2 linked regions of the Drosophila melanogaster genome follow. The protein of the gene in region 2 interacts with the protein of the main gene of each other region in a pairwise test. Each region holds a gene or a part of one and is shown on either strand. Other genes may lie near its edges.

Region 1 (4,887 bases), on a different chromosome or scaffold from region 2:
TTCTTCTCCGCGCTCTTGATGTAGAGAGCCAGGCAGCTTTGCTGGATGGCCGCCAGCAAAATCAGAATGATAGCTTTTCCCAACTGCATCTTCAGATCGATGTGCTTCGTTCGGTGGTTGTGGCGAATGTGATGTCCTGTGCTCCTGCGTAGCTACCCTTATATACCTCGATCCTTTCGGACTGATCCGCATCCGCGTTAATTGACATAACCGCACATCAGCGTTGCGTGGCTGCGATAATCAGACAATGGCTGCAAAGGCGCTTGACACTCGAGACATCCGGGGCGCCTGCGCAAGGACCACTTTTGGCCAAGGAGTCAGCCCAGGACGACATGTGCTTGATTGAACCTCCGACGCGCAGCGCCTGCCTTTGTTTTTCTAGGGAACACTTAGCGCGAGCCGCGGCAATTAAACGGCAAACTGAGCGCACACAAAAATTAGTGCTTACGCATCTTGCCTCAGACGGCGGCCAGGTAGACCGCGTCCAGTCCTCAGTCCTTGCCACAGGACCAAGCTGGACGAGGCAGAGCAAGGCGACACCCAACGACAGGCGACTACTAGCGGCCAATGTGGGAATCAAAGTGCGTAATTGAGTCGCTTAAAAGCGCCAAATGGTTTCATGAATGTACCGCTCTCACCAGGCTCACCAGGTAGACGCTCGCCTTTCAAATGCGAAAGGAAGTACAAATAAATCCTAGCGCCAGCCATAAACGGATCAACTGCGCCGATCTCAATCCGCTGGTCTCCGCTCCTGCTCATCGACAAGTTCTGCGCTCGCTAATTATTCCTGAATGCGGGTTTTATTGATGCAATATAAATAATGCAAATGCAATTTGTGGTGCATGCAGACAAGGGGGTGGTCCCTAAAAAATGTGCCATCTAAGTAAGCCATTGCCACTGTCGCTGCCACTGCAGCTGCGGAAGACCAGCATTGAGTTTTCGACGGGTAATTATGTAATATGCATAATGACAATAAATAAAGTTAGTCGAAATATACATATGTATGTATGTAGGTAACCAGGGAAAAGATTAGGTTGAATGTGGAATTAGCTTTATTTAAATTAAATCAACAAAAAATGCACAAGGTGAAGAAGTAGTTCTATATATTATATCAATTTTTCACATTTAAAATATGTGACTTGTCATACAATTTACCAAATATTTATAAGTAGGGAAGTTTTGTGCCTTCTGTGCTATAATACAAATATAACTTTGATACATTCCATCAAATTTTATAGAAAATAGCTATTGAAAAAATAGCTAATTGAAAATGACTAGCGAAATGAATGGAAATTAAATAGTTTTTTATTTTCTTAAAATATAGCTATGCCTTAATATTCAAGGCTAAAAAGCAGTAGGTAATCAATCGTTCAAGGGCTTACCTACTATTTTAAAAATACTAATGTCAATTTTAAAGTTATTCTCTTCATGACATGAAGCTTACTACTATTCTTTTGCTAAAAGGTGATGGCCATATGCTATTCACAACCTGCTTGCTCTATTTTAAAAATGTTCGTTACAAAAAGACTTTTGGGTAAAATTGTTACCCTACTTCAATTTTACATGTAGACACTTAACCGAGAAAAAAGCAGTAGAAATTGATATACGAAGCAGGGTAAAGAAGTTCAAATCTAATGCCAAAGCAGTTACAAACCAGTACAACGGTTATTTAGCCCAGACGCAAACCAGAATCAGGAAGTAAAGTAATGTAAAGTAAAGTTTTCAACCGGAAGAAGGAAATGTTCGTTCTTATAAGAAGTTATTTCAAGCGAAACCCACACAAAACTAATTAGAATTACGAAAGTTTTTTAAGCAAATTACAATTTTTATATATTTTATTTGCTACAATGAACAGACTAGCACAACACAATACATATTTCAATTTCTGTCACATCTAGCCGTTAAAATATATATTTTTCTACAAACACCGTAGTTATAGAAACGAAGTTTCTTGTTTATTATTTTAAAGAGCCGGCAATTGTAACCACGCCAAAATGCCGAAAGTACTGTTTCAGAAGTACAAGAAGGTGGTGAGCAACATCGACCCGAGTCGCTATAGCGCCAAGTTCAAGGAAATCGACGAGCAGAGGCGCTCGCAAGGTTCGGAATCGGATTTTGCAGATGAAATGGAGGGCGAGTTCGAGGCGGAAATGGAGGAAATGGGATCTAGTGAATTTAGTTTATCCGAAGGAGAACCATCGCTCAATATCGGAAAGATCGATTTATCCTTTCCCGAAACAGTCGAGGAGTTCGAAAACAGTCCCCAGTGCTATCCTCCATCGTACTATACCCTCTCGCCCAAGGAGCGGTTGCTCCTGCTGTACGCTGAGAATTTCCGGAAGCAATTGGTTCTCAGCTACCCAAAGAGACGAGCCATGGTCTTGGCCCTGCCCAACGAATGCAAAGTACAGGTGAAGTCAGCACCATCTGCTCCTTTAGTGGCCAGCGTTTTGATAAATTGCCACTCTTAACCAACTTACAGAAATTCGTTTGCACCACCATCAGGCCAACGGCGTTTATTTACACGCAACTCATATCAAGTGTCGAGGAAATTGCCAAGTTTGTCGCCGATTTCATTCAGTATGAGCCACTGCAGGATCCCATAAATTTGGTAAGTCTATTATGGCAAAGTTGAACCAATCACATATCCATTATTCTTATGTTCCGAGCTCATGTAGCAATATATTTAAAAGTTTATGCGTTCTAAAATGTTCAATAACTTGACCAAGGCAATTTATACTTGTAAATATAAAAGTAAAACATTTAGGTATTTTAGTAGATATATATGAAAAACCACTTAGACCCTCCAATACGACAGCGGTAAGTAAATACGACGACAGTTCTAAGAGTTTCATAAAAATTATCTAATTATTTTTTATTGAACATGTATTTAAAATTACATTTAAATTTGTAAATGTTTTTATTTAAATATCGCATTAATTCCGAATTAAGAAAATTCTTTTGAGCACATTTCCATAGTTATTAATATACGAAATTTAAAAACGTTTGATATCAAATGCATGCCATTCGCGCCAACACACCTTGCAGTTCGAAAAGTATTTTTTCTTTTTCGTAACAAAAACTAAGGGCTATAACATTTTTCTAGAATGCATCATTGGGTGAAAAAACAAACTAACAAAACAGAGTCGGTTGTCTTTCCGTTCAAAAAGAAATGCATAATAGCTACAAATAGAGTTTCTCGATATATACACGTTAACCGTACGATTAATTAATTAATACAATGCAATGCAATGCAATGGAGTGGATTCGAATTGAATTGAAAGATACTGAAAGTATGCTCGATAGGTTTCACAGCTAGGAGATAAATTCAGTGGAGTCCTCCGGATGCGTGGAACCATGTGGTCTAACTGCTGGAGCTCAGTTCGTCGTACTGCTGGTACTCGCCCGTGATCTGGCAGTCGTCGGGGTCATCGTCGAGGTCACAATGTACAAATTCGTAGGGAGGGAAGAACAGGGAGCTGAGTAGGGTGGCCGACGATCGGTAGACGGCCGGCGCATAGACATGGCACCTCGTCGAGCCCTCGGCGGTATCTGCATTTGCATCTGTAGCCAGGACACCGGGTCCTGGCTCTGCATCGTGCAGAGCACCGTCTGGGCTATCCTCTATCTCTGTATCCGTGGCTGGCTCCGTGGGCGCCAACTTTGGCTTTTCCTATTTGCGACGGCGACTCTTGCCCCGCCCACTGCCCTCCTCCTCCGCGGCGTGCTCCTCGCTGTCCTCCGGCAAAGCGGATTTCTCGATCATCGGTGTCTCGTTGCCCGACTTGATGGCGGCTATTAGGAAACGAAGTTGCATCAGCTGCACGGCCGTCACGCGGGGATTGCTGCAATTCTCCAGCCACTGCAGGAACTTTTCGCCATGGCGGATGGCCTCGATATCCTCGTCCGCCGTGCAGTCCAGATACTTGGCCTTCTCCTCCTCGTCCGTTTTGTTTGAGTTATTATTGTTATTGTTATTGCTGGCGCTCACATCGTTGTTGTTCGTATGCGGATTGCTGGTGTCCTGGAAGCTGCCCTCCGATTCGGAGGATCCCTGTTCCGGCATCAACGGACCAGTGGCCTCCATTCCGCCCATCTTGAAGAGCATATTGTCTAGGATCTTCTTGCATTCGCTTGTGGAATTCGTGGTCTCTGGGGTTTTGGTCTTCGCCTTTGGTTCGGGACTCCTGCTGCCTGATGAATGGGCAATGGGACTTTGCGAAGGGGTCATCACTTTGCCGGCGGCTGAGAGATCCTCCGGTTTCCCGGATGCCTCCGGCTCCACTTCGCCATCGAGATCGGTTTCGGTGGCCTCGTCAGCCTCGGGATTCTGTTCGTTGGAGGACAAACTTCTCACCGACGGCGTCTCAGTCTCTTTCGTGAGATGGGAGTACAGTATGTTCGAGGGATCTCCCATGGATCCCCCCTCTGCGGCCGTGGTGGCCACCTGCTGCTGCAGTTGGTTGGCTTGCAGGGCGGCCAAGGTGGCGGCATTGGGATTCAGGGTATGCAGACTGGCACCGAACGCCTTGCACCAGTTGTACCACGCCGCGTTCTTCTCGTCCAGACTGCCCGACGGTGTGGACGAGGGTGTTAGCGGAGCCGAGGGTATCGGCGGAGTCTGTGCCAACTGACTCATGTGCTGCGGCGTGGAAGATCTGATAGGGGGACTGGTCACGCCCATGGGAATTGTGGGCGGATAAAGGGGATTCAGACCCAACATGGTCTGCTGCGACTTGAGCCAGTAGAGCAAGGGATCTTCGGCCAGATTGGAGAGCGTCATGGGCCCGCCCATTTGCGAAGGAGCAATCGAAGGACTGGGACTCTTGATATCGCCTCCCTTGCCCTCGTTCTTGATGCTCAGATTGAGGCTGCCCTGGCCCTCCC
Region 2 (3,878 bases):
TTTACGAAATATAGGCTAACGAGCTTTAAACAAAATATTGCTTGTACGTTTTCTGGACATTTATTCTTGGTTCTAATGATGATGTCGGTTTATCAGCTTCATTTACAACTTTACTTTCTTCAAGCAATGTAACGTTGCGTCTCTCAGAGTTAAAAGAATCTCATTTGTACACGGAAAATCAATTTAACATTTATTAGCGGGGATGCGCACCCCAAACAAATGCTATGAAGACGGGTGATTCCTTTTTACATTTGAATCTTATTAACTAACTTGTTCATGAATGGAATATCGAAACATTACAATACGTTTTCGTACGTTTGTGTAGAATTTTGTTAGAAAGGCATTCGCTGAATGCACATGGTCCATACATATAATGCATGTTAACTAAACGAAAAAAAAAGACGTTGATCTGATGTATGCTATAATGGATGATTGGATGATTGGTGGTTTCCTTGCCACTCAGCGCATTTAAGAGCCCACGATGATATTGTTGATGGGGATGTGTATCAACTTAACGAAGAAGCCGATGAAGCCCATGATGCAGAAGCCCACAGCAGTGGCGATGGCGATCTTCTGGAACTCCTTGCGGTCGGGCTTGGTGCACCGCTTGACCAGGCGGATCGAGTCCTTGGCGAAGGCGCGTCCAGGCTCGGCAAACTTAACAACCTTGTCCATGTCTTGTCAGATATTTGGGATTCTGCAACGAAAGCGAAGGAAAGTGCTAATCAGTAAAAGGTATTCAGCGCTTTCACAGCAACGTCAGCTGCGACGTGGCAAATGGTTGGCGACGGCACAGGTGAAATCGCGTTGCCCATTTCCACAAATTCGCCCAACAAGTTATCCAGCTATCACAGCTCCAACAGGGGTCAGTGGCTGAAGATCACCATTAATGTCTGTGCCACCACCAACCCAATCGCTTCGATTCACCAAATCAGCAGGATTTGGTAAAGAAACGGGAAAAAGTGCAAGGTCCACAGGCAAAGAACGGCGCGCAGGGCAAATAAACCTCTGCTGCGTGTGCTTGATAGCCATTCAAACCATTTTAATTGAAAAACTGTGCGAGCGCAGCTGAAAATCAAATAAGCAAACACACATACCTCCGCTTTAATTCAGAATTTCCAACTAAATGAGATACAATCGTCGACTGCCGCGTAGACCCCGTTATTCGTATGTGTTTGCCGATGACAGCTCCACGTCGGCTGTCAAACGCCAGGGCTACGCTACACTGGGGCCGAGCTGTCAGTGGTGGCAGGGATGCCAGCTTGGCTATTTTGCAGCTGGATGCTATGAAAGCTTTGGAATGCTCCAAACGTTAGCTAATTTGTAGCCTAATTTTATTATATTCAAAGTTGAATTTTTGTTCACATTCCTTAACTATTTTTACTCGTTGGGGAGTAACCATATTATATCGTTAACTAGTTGAAAAAATGTGAGTTCACAATGCTTTAATGCTTCACACCAATCTTTACATAAGTAAGGTAACTGGATGAATTTCAAACAAAGAACTACAGATTTAATCGAACTAATAGAGCGCGTTATATTATTTCATTTTTAATCAAATATAATATTTACAACAACATATTATATTAACAACATTATATTTATATTGAAGCAAAACCTAATTCCAATTAGAAATAGAGATAATAATAAGAACAAGACAGGACTTGCACTATTGCATTTTTGTGGTATATAATCGGTATTTTGCACATCCAAGCGCACGCACAACGGTGTTTGCGCCCAGGCGACCTGGCATTTAGCATCGTGGGCGGCGCGGACACACTGGTCCTCGCACAAAACTCGCACTCGAACTTGCTCTCCGCGCGCTCTGAGCGCATCCATAGCCGGAGCAGGAGCGGAGCACACGATGTCCTCGAACCAGGAGCAGTCACCCGCCGCAGTGGCCGCGGCCGTGGCCAGCTGCAGGCTAAGGAAACAGCAGCGCCGTCGACTGGCGGCCTTCGACTTCGACCACACGATCGTTTCCCAGAACACGGACACCGTGGTGCGCGACCTGCTGCCCACGGAGGTGACGAGCGCCAAGGTCAACGAGCTGGTTGAAAACGACTGCTGGACGGAGTACATGGCCGAGGTGTTTCGCTTGCTGCACGAGCAACAGGTGTCGGAGGCGCGCATTAGGGACACCATTCGTGGCATACCCGAGGTGCCCGGATTCGTGCGCCTGATCAAGCATCTGGCCAAGCGGCTGCACTACGACCTGATCATCATCAGTGACTCGAACAGCGTCTTTATCGACGAGTGGCTGCGGGCACATAACTTGGCCGATTGCTTTGTGGCCATCTTTACCAATCCGGCGGAATTCGATGCCTCCGGACGGCTTATGGTCCGCGCCCACCACCAGCAGTCGGATTGCAAGCTGAGCGCCAGCAATTTGTGCAAGGGCCGCGTGCTGGAGCACTTTGTCATCGAGCAGGACCTGCGGCGCAGCATACGCTATGACCACGTCTTCTATGTGGGCGACGGCAACAACGACATCTGCCCCGTGCTGCGGCAGCGGGCGTGCGACTTTGCCTGCGCCCGCAAGGGGTTCGCAATGGAGAAGCACCTGCTCCGCAATCGCAGCAAATTGAAGCTGCGCGCCCAGCTGCTGATCTGGAAGAGCGGCTTCGATCTGATGGACCAGATGCTGGCCCTGCCGCAGCTGAAGACCCCCCAGGTGCAGGGCGATGGGGATCAGCCGGATCAGGATGCGGATACGGATGGCAAAGTACCGGAGGTGGCACGTCGGGCATCGGCAGTTGCCGGGCCGACCAAGTCGCCCAACTAAGGTGGCATGTGCTCGCATTTGGCACCGGCACGAGTAAGTAGAACGGGTAATCCTCGAGAGTGACGATTGCCCAGCTGCAGGATGGCCATCGCATAGGAAACTGCTACTTTGGAGCACGATATGGTATTTCATGGTATCGAAAGATACCGTTCCTTGTTCCTTGTTTTGGACTATGCTGTGCGATAGCAATCATGCGGTTCTACGATGCCAGGAGTACTCGTGAGGGTCTCAAATGCGAAACCATCCATCCCGATCCCATCATCCCCATCCAGTTGTTGGTTGCATCATGTGGTCTGGTCTGGTTCTTTATTTGATCCGCTCGCCACTTCGCTGCACTGGCCGTGCCAAGTGTACTGGGTGGATCTGTATTTATATCTGTGTGCCGGGACTTTACCTGCAAAACAATTTGTGGAAATCCAAACAGTACAACTTCGGAGGTGTGCCCAGGACTTGAGGCGTCAATTTGTGCTGCGGCTGTTAGTGTTTATTCCATGTGTCTATATTTAAACCTGTTGTAATTGAAGCTATTGCAAGCGCTGTATATGAGTGTCCATATTATATGCATTTGAATGTGTGTTTTGCCGTTACTGCACCCGCTGCACTACCTTTTTTTCCTGGGTTGGGCTGGGCTGGTCTGGAGCACTGGGTGCTCTTGGTGCACACCACGCGACCTAGAGCGGGACAGCAGCATGCCAGCTGCGTGGCCAGGAGCGGGACGGGGATAGCAGCAGATGCGCTTTCTGCGCAATTTTCTCGACTTTTGTTTACACACCTCGCAGGATGAGCCATTTGCATTCAGTAGAGTGATTGATTGTGATGGTCAGAACTTACATATGTATATAGAACCTATAAGATTCGTTCGGGGACACCCCCTACTATCAAATATACACAGCAAATAGCAAATATAGCAAATCCGGACAGTAGCCCAAAAGTATGCAGCGAAAAGATGATTATGAACTTTTGCGGGATTGTTAATATCCTCTGTTAGAATATTGATATTAAAAAAAAAAACAAACACGCATAAATATTTATATCGTATCGTCTGCTCGAGGTTCTTTATTGGGTGTCAGTGACAATCTTAGTATTAACATTA

Evidence for each region.
Region 1: the proteins of CG12237 (region 2) and lobo interact in a two-hybrid assay, tested with the Drosophila melanogaster proteins (one large-scale study listed by BioGRID).

Annotation. Positions count from the first base shown.
Region 1 is NT_033777.3:25,190,762-25,195,648, reverse strand, and holds the start of lobo (lost boys), read left to right. Parts: upstream 1-1,872; 5' UTR 1,873-1,994; coding exon 1,995-2,411; intron 2,412-2,482; coding exon 2,483-2,611; intron 2,612-2,842; exon of another isoform or gene 2,843-3,364; coding exon of another isoform or gene 3,365-4,887. Other genes in the region: CG13653 (uncharacterized protein), read right to left, coding at 1-89; dan (distal antenna), read right to left, coding at 3,674-4,887. UniProt on the Drosophila melanogaster protein: Key component of the nexin-dynein regulatory complex (N-DRC), essential for N-DRC integrity. Involved in the regulation of flagellar motility. Involved in sperm motility. Required for the sperm to enter in the coiled storage seminal receptacle (SR) tubule.
Region 2 is NC_004354.4:19,640,684-19,644,561, reverse strand, and holds CG12237 (uncharacterized protein), read left to right. Parts: upstream 1-1,692; 5' UTR 1,693-1,864; coding exon 1,865-2,785; 3' UTR 2,786-3,371; downstream 3,372-3,878. Other genes in the region: Sec61gamma (Sec61 gamma subunit), read right to left, coding at 469-675.